Linked DNA regions of Xenopus tropicalis. The protein of the gene in region 2 purifies or fractionates together with the protein of the main gene of each other region. This does not show direct contact. Links are inferred from orthologs where the notes say so. Each region holds a gene or a part of one and is shown on either strand. Other genes may lie near its edges.

The links. Proteins that work in one complex are often made in the same cells at the same time.
Region 1: the proteins of hnrnpm (region 2) and ddx39b purify together in Homo sapiens (affinity purification with mass spectrometry; 4 studies listed by BioGRID, with this or other methods). This does not show direct contact. The link is inferred for Xenopus tropicalis from reciprocal best matches to the Homo sapiens genes HNRNPM and DDX39B.

Annotation. Positions count from the first base shown.
Region 1 is NC_030684.2:74,199,203-74,202,987, forward strand, and holds part of ddx39b (spliceosome RNA helicase DDX39B), read right to left. Parts: intron 3,565-3,785; coding exon 3,381-3,564; intron 2,622-3,380; coding exon 2,503-2,621; intron 1-2,502. UniProt on the Homo sapiens protein: Involved in nuclear export of spliced and unspliced mRNA. Component of the TREX complex which is thought to couple mRNA transcription, processing and nuclear export, and specifically associates with spliced mRNA and not with unspliced pre-mRNA.
Region 2 is NC_030677.2:92,210,994-92,214,778, reverse strand, and holds part of hnrnpm (heterogeneous nuclear ribonucleoprotein M), read right to left. Parts: intron 3,657-3,785; coding exon 3,354-3,656; intron 2,250-3,353; coding exon 2,096-2,249; intron 545-2,095; coding exon 495-544; intron 279-494; coding exon 218-278; intron 1-217. UniProt on the Homo sapiens protein: Pre-mRNA binding protein in vivo, binds avidly to poly(G) and poly(U) RNA homopolymers in vitro. Involved in splicing.

The DNA of each region.
Region 1 (3,785 bases), on a different chromosome or scaffold from region 2:
TTAATTAGCAACTGTTGGGCATACCTGTTCAATAATTTACTTACATTTCATACTGAGCCAATAGGGAACAACAATAGAGAACCCCATTGTGCTTTGGCCTAAGAGTACATGCAAGGACACATAAACCAACACTTTTCATATATCATAAAGCAAACTTACTCTAACATCATTAAGTTGTATTCAATATGTTTAAGTTTTGCTTATTGTACATACACGTCTGGAAAGTGCAGGTTTACATTAGGTATATTTATCTGTTCATGCACTCTAATACAGTATAAAATGCCAACTAGTCGGTGACTAGATGCATATACTTATATAGGTGGTATTTAGTATTTATAGTTTGAATGGGGAATCCTGATGGTTTCTGGTAAGATTCCTAGTCATTTCATTTTTGATAGAATTTTGATTGATTTATTGATTGATTGGTTAAATTAGGCTATCAAGTTCACCAAATTTTAAGGCTAATTTGATCAAAAATCACTTTTTATAATTATTTCTACCTAGAGTGAATTGGTATCTCAGATCCCAAAAAGAACTTCCGGTCTGAGCTATCAAACTCTAGGCTATGGGCAATGGTTATATTTAATTTCCCTTTAATCAATATCAATATTAGGGATGCATCAAATCCAAGATTCAATTTCGGGATTTGGCTAAGATTCGGCCTTTTTGTCAGGATTCAGATTTGGCCGAATCCACGCTCCTGGCCAAACCCGAATCCTTAAAATCTCGTAACTTTTGGTCATGTAAACACAGAAGTTGAAATTTTTTCACCGCACATATGCAATTTCAGATTCGGTTGGGTATTCAGCTGAATCTCTCATGAAGGATTCGGGGTTCGGCCGAATACAAATAAATTGGATTCGATGCATCCGTAATTTATATGAACCACATGCATGGGTTTCCATGGGTATTCAGTTGAATTTAATTGATTCAGGAAGATATGGTTCTGAAGCAATTTAATTCATAAAACCAATAATCATTATTGATCAACCCCTAATGTAGAGTCAGTCCGGCCTTAGAAAGAAAATGGGTTTGTTTTTAACATGGTGTGCCTTTAACTACACTTTGCTTACATGACAACTTCTATTTCTCTAATAGCCAAGAGTTTTAGCCCTTTTCACTCTCTTAATTCTGTAACATGCAGAGATAATCTTCTTTCAGTTGGCAGGTTATCTAAATAATTTGTGTAGCTAATCATTCCACCCAACTTTCTCTTTTTGCAGTCTACTTGTTTTTCCTTTTTGTCATTCTAATCAACCCCACCCCTTATCCACTTTTATATTAGTCCCTGAATGACATCTATAGCTAACATACATTTCCACACCCTCTGCTTACACAGCTTTAGTTTTTGTTTCTGCTCTACCTGCGCTATATCACACCAATAACCAATTCTTTTGCTATATCAACCAACAATCTGTATCTTTATGTAGTGTATCTGATCCCTTACTTATAAATATTAGTTCATACTCTGGAAGGTAAGCTTCACTTTCTTAATATCAGTTTTTTTCTGCTTTTTCTCTGCTTTTCCCTGTTCATGCATTTTTTTCTTTTGATTGGTATAGAAGTATTTCACTAGCCCCCAATACTAAAGGTAAATCTGAGGGAACTTTAACATTCAATCTTTCCTTCGTCACTGATCAACAGTGATCAGGAAATTAAAGAGAATGAAAAAGTCCCAATAATGTGGTTCTGTTTGGCTCAGAACTACGGAAAAAAAATAATTATGTGACACGTTGATGGAGTCACAAAGATAAGCTGCATTTTTTTCTTGCATGGAAAAATTAAAAATCATAGAGCGCCATTTTAAGGCTAGGCACTCTTGTGATGATAAACATCAGAGAATTAGCAAAAAGATATCTATTGATAGGATTTGCCAGAAAAAAAATTGCAATGAGGGAGCCTAAACAGTTTTGGCTTGTGTCACAAAATCTGTTTAGAATGTGATAAAGCTGGCATTTGAAACCAAAAATGGGTTTTAGTTTGGTGTAAAAAAAAATGCAGTATGGTGCTTTGCTTTACAGGCCACAAGCTGTCACATGTGCGTCAAATAAATGTATGACTCTCAAGATGTTGTGTTGCTAGAGAGCCATTTGTAGCTTGGTAATTATATTTGTATTTGGTGTGACACATCATAAGGGATAGTGACAATTTTCTGGAGTGACTAGCTGGTGTTATTGTAGCACACCAGTTTATGGCAGGTTGAATGCTATGATTTAGTCACATCAACATTTTTGTATTTAGCCTATGTGTCACTTCTGTAGCACATGACAGGGGACATGAAAATTAAAAAGTGCAGCAATGGGAAATGTGCGTGACCCAACTTGCACTTAGGCTTGTGTAGAACAAAAAAATGAAAAAGTTGTTTCAGTGCCACACAGGGTAGTAATGCCTGAGTTTGGCTTGGTGCTTCTTTCAAAAACAGTCCCTTAGTTAGCGTTGTCAGCCAGGGGCTGCTTGAGGAATGAGGGAGGAGGAGGAAGAAGATGAGGAGTTGGTAATTACATCTTGCATAAATTTGCGGCAAACCGGGCGAATCTCCTTGCTCAGTGTGGCACTGAACATCATAACCTGCTTCTCATGTGGTGTCATGCGGAAAATTTCCTGTACATCTCTGCGCATGTCTATGGGTTTTGGAAAAAGAAAAACAGAGTAAATAACAGTGAATGAGAGGGGAATTTCCACCCATCTCAACTTTAAAAAAGGAAACATGACACATGAGGAGATTAGTCGCTCCGTGATAAATCTTCTCCAGCATGGGCAATTACTTTCCTGAATGCTTTCCTACCAGTGTAAATCACCCATGGAAAAACATGCGTCGCTTTGGTTTTCTGAAGCCATCTTAAGTTGCCTTGCAAGGCAACTTAAGATGCTTTAATAGAAAATACCTGCTAAAACTTGGCTTCCTTTCAATTGAACTACGGCGATAAGGCGAAGGAAGGAGCTGCATCCACTATTTGACGATCAATTGATCGAGCCTAGCCTGACTCCTTCCTATACAGAAAGAAGGCTAGGCTCGATCAATCGATCGTCGCATAGTGGATGCAGCTCCTTCCTTCGCCTTATCGCCATAGTTCAATTGGCAGGAAGCCAAGTTTTAGCAGGTATTTTCTATTAAAGCATTTAAAAAACTAAGTGGTTTGCAGGATAGGACATTTATTGGTGCAGGGTAAAATAGCTTTTTTACTTAAAAAAATTTAGTGTTACATTTCCTTTAAAGGGCTGCTGTATTCACCTTAATATAAGAACCCATATGACAAACACAAAATATTCAAAATATACTTCTTCCTGTGGTATATTTCCCTAAAGAAGGTTGTAAATCCAAAAAAGAAAGACATTTTGCCTTTGGCTTATTTAGGCATGTATTGCATTTAATTACTCACCTAGCTGTTCTAACATCTTGTCACACTCATCAAGGATGAAATGTTTGATGTGTTTCAGATTCAGAGTCTTGTTTCTTGCAAGCGCCAGCATTCGCCCTGGTGTTCCCACCACAATGTGGGGACAGCTCTTTTTCAGAACCTCCTCATCTTTCTTAATAGCAAGCCCCCCAAAAAATACTGCCACCTGAAAGACATAGTGTAATTTTAAAGACAAGGAAAAAAAACAGAAAAACAGGGGAAAGCAATGACAGTAGAGAGTCAAATACCTTTAAAGAAACAATAACACTAAAAAAAATGAGTGTTTTAAAGTAATTAAAATATTAGGCACCATTGCCCTACACTGCACTGTGTTGCTGCAAAAGAGCCACAGATTTAGAAGGCATGTAATGGATAAGATGTGTCAGA
Region 2 (3,785 bases):
GATTTACATTCTAGCCGGTCTCCCGTGTACAGCACTTTTAAAATGCTTTCATTGCAATTACTGGCACAGAGCAATGCTCCAGTTGCCTTAGGGGTGTACATTTATCCTGTATTTCTGAAAAAATTCAATACAAGAAACATGCACTAGCACCAAACTTCATTCTCCTTATGGGTAACCACAGTAGGATTGAGGGAAAACCTTTTAATCTGTTACTTACGGGGAAGCTGTGGTGGACGATCTGCAGGGAACAGGTCTCCTTTGGGCATTGATTTGTCATCCTGTTGTAAAATAAAATTGTTATGTTAAACAATCGAATTAGCCAGATAATGCACAACTTTAGGTGGCCATATCAGGAGAAGATGGTGACCCCGCCAAAGGAGCAGGTCGCAATGCGTATGGCTGCAATTTAGAACAGTGTGCTTTAACATAACCAAACACCACACAGACCCAATTTACATGAGTACTAATAAAAAAAAAATTAAATACAATCTTACCATTTTCACCATCATAGGTCTGTCAAAGAGAGGCTGTCCATTGAACATTGCTATTTTGCAGTTAAGTTAAATTCACTAATGTAATACATTACATTCGGTCATTGGAAAACATGTCCCCCCCCCCCCCAAAACACATAAGTTAATAGAGCTTCTCCAGGAGAATACTGCATTGAAGTCAGTTTTTCAAAAACAGTTTTTATATTTAATTTATAATAGTTTCTAATGGGGCTAGACATTTTCTTCATTCCCCAGGGTGCCACAACCATGTGACCTATGCTCTGATAAATTTCAGTCACACGTTACTGCTGAGCTGCAAGTTGAAGTGATATCAGCCCCCCTCCCAGCAGGTAGCAAGATAGCAGCTCCCAGTAGATATCAGAATAGCACTCTACAGTAAGATCCAGGTCCAGCTTGAGACTCCTAAAGTTACATGGGAGTAGGAGAAACAATAGGCTACCTAAAAGCAGTTCCAATGTGTAGTGCTGGGTTTTTCTGAAAGTCAGACTACAATGCACTGGCATGGCTGCCAACAGACCAACATCACTACTGTTAATTTTATTTTTGAGCCAGTTGTAAATTATTTGCCATGTAAACAGTGTAATTTAGAAAAAGTATAACATACAAATGATGACAGAATGTAGAGCTGGGCGGTATGACCAAAAATTTATATCACGGTATTTTTCAAAATTATATCGGTGTCACGGTATTTGACGGTATTTTTTTTTCCATGCATGATTAGGTGTTAACCCCATTTCCTAATAAATTAGAGAATAATTACTGCAGTATTGAAAATCAGAGTCAGGCAAGCGAAGGATCGGCAACAGAAAGTCGTAAGGTAAATCAGGCAGGCTTAGTTTCCCAGGCAAGGCCGCAGACAACATAGCACAGGAGGCGGCGTTTGATAGCTTTAAAAACCCCCTACGCATGCGCAGAACCGGCGCCGTCAGCACGCAAGGAGGCGCGCGAGACCGGGCCGCACGGGTGAGTACCCCGACACCCCGGTATTGCGGTATCTGAAAAATGAATATAGTAAAAAAAAAAGAAAAAAAAAAAACACACCGGTATTCGGTATTAAACGGTATATCGCCCAGCCCTAACAGAATGCCTTTAAGGAAGATCCTTCTTCACTTAAAGAACTACACAGCCTCCAGAATTACCTACCTTTGTCCCAGCATTCGGTCTGACCTGGTTCCTCAGTTAGAAGTTGATGGTTTCCTTTGCTTCCTTATGCAGAGTGAAGCCCCGCCCCCACTTCCTGTTCAGTTCTCTCAACACTTCGACTACTGTAGTCGAGTGTAGAGCCTTCTGTGCATGCCTGGAGGCAGCAGGAGCCAGTTTGTGCATGAGCAGGTTTTTTTTTTTTTGATGAGAGACCAGGAAGTGGAGGCAGGGCTCCACTCAGCACAAGGAAGCAAAGGAAACCATCAACTTCTAACTAAGGAACCAGGTCAGACAGAATGCTGGGACAAAGGTAGGTAATTCTGGAGGCCATTTAGAAAAAATTTACTGATGGGAAAAAAAAAAAAAAAAAAAACAGGTTTACTTATTCTTTAAGACTTGCTATAAAATACCACAGATAATAGGTCTGACTGAAAGGATACATATTGCTTGAACAGCTTCTATAGGTTGTTCATATGTAACTGTACCAATCCCTCGGCTCTTTCCATCTTTATCTTCCAAAACATCTGCCCGCACTACAGTGCCTGCAATTCCAAATACCTCCTTTAACTTCTTCCAGCCGACACTGTAGTCAAGCTACAAAAAAAAACAAAACACAATATTGGATTGCTTGATCTCCGTTTGCAGCAAAGGGAATCTATTGTAGGACAGAAGGGAACACGTTTTCAGATTTCAAAAAGTTCTCCCAGCAATATGTAGGATACCAAGTGATTGCAAACTACAACTAACCGATTCCTTTGGAGGCCTACCCTGGGAAAGATGATTTTGAGACAAGTATGCAAGTTATACCTGGACAGGTTTGACACTTTGGCAGTCAATTTTAATTTAATACTAGGGGATGCTGAAACAATAAAAGCTAAATTTCTGATTTAAAGCAAAGTAGACACAGCCCATTATGCCATTTGAAATTATTGGAATCTTACTAAAAATTTGGGCAGCACTAAAAACATTGAACTGTGTATAACAGGAGGGACCAGGGGGGTGGGGGGTTATCCAGTGATTCTCCCCTGGAATAACTCTGTGCCAGCAACAAGCTTGTTCAGTTGGGCTTGCCAAAGCGGGGTTATATAAGCACAATGTGTTAAGCTTTGCTCTGGATAGGGTTGGGAAAATATTATATTTAGCAGTTTGTTATCCTGACAAAGGGAGCCTTAACCACAGGCACTTGTATTTGACAGCAAGTTATCAATGCTAGCATAATTATTTACTGCAAAATAAAAGTTAAATTAACTGTACCTTAAAATTATGTTGTAATTATGTGGAGAGCTTTTTTTCCCCTACAATCAGTCTGCTATTGAGACAAATAATTCTGGAAGTGCTTTCAATGTCCTACCTGCAGTCATACAGTAACTGTAATGCTTAGGATCTTAACAGCATACTTCAAACCCTGTAATTCAGGCTGGTTTGCGAACTTATAAGAAAATGTATTCATAAATCCATTACCCCCCCTACCCAACAGTATTACTGTCAAGACTCAAAAATAACGCATTTGCAGCTGTTTGCCCCCAATAAACCAACTACACAAATTTTATAGATGCTTAAATCTGCTATTTTTATTCTACTAGGTCAAGCCATGTTAGTGGAGATTATGGTAGACTATTACACAAGACACACATCCATGTTACACCTAACAAAGAACATATATTTGATTAAAGGGTCATAGTTGATACTTTTACTCACGTTGGCTACAAACACGGTGCTCCCAAGTCTTCCTGCTTGTAGTGCATGGATAACTTCCCTAGGAATATTTGGGTTGTTAAGCAGGCTAGGTGGAATATTCCCCCCAACTGGTCCTGGGCCACCCATTCCAAGAGGACCAGGTCCACCCAGCCCAATTGGACCTGGACCACCCATTCCCATTGGCCCTGGCATTCCCATTGGTCCAGGACCACCCATGCCCATTGGTCCAGGACCACCCATGCCCATTGGCCCTGGCCCAAAAACAGAGTGGGCAGCTCTTCTGGATCGTTCGCCATCAGGGTCCTGTAGAGATAAGAAAATTGTACAGTTCTAATATTTACAGCCCAGTTTGTAAATAGCCATAAATAAAAACTAGATTTCTATTGAACATACCCTCAATTAAAGTATGAAAACTTACTTTTGAAACCAGCA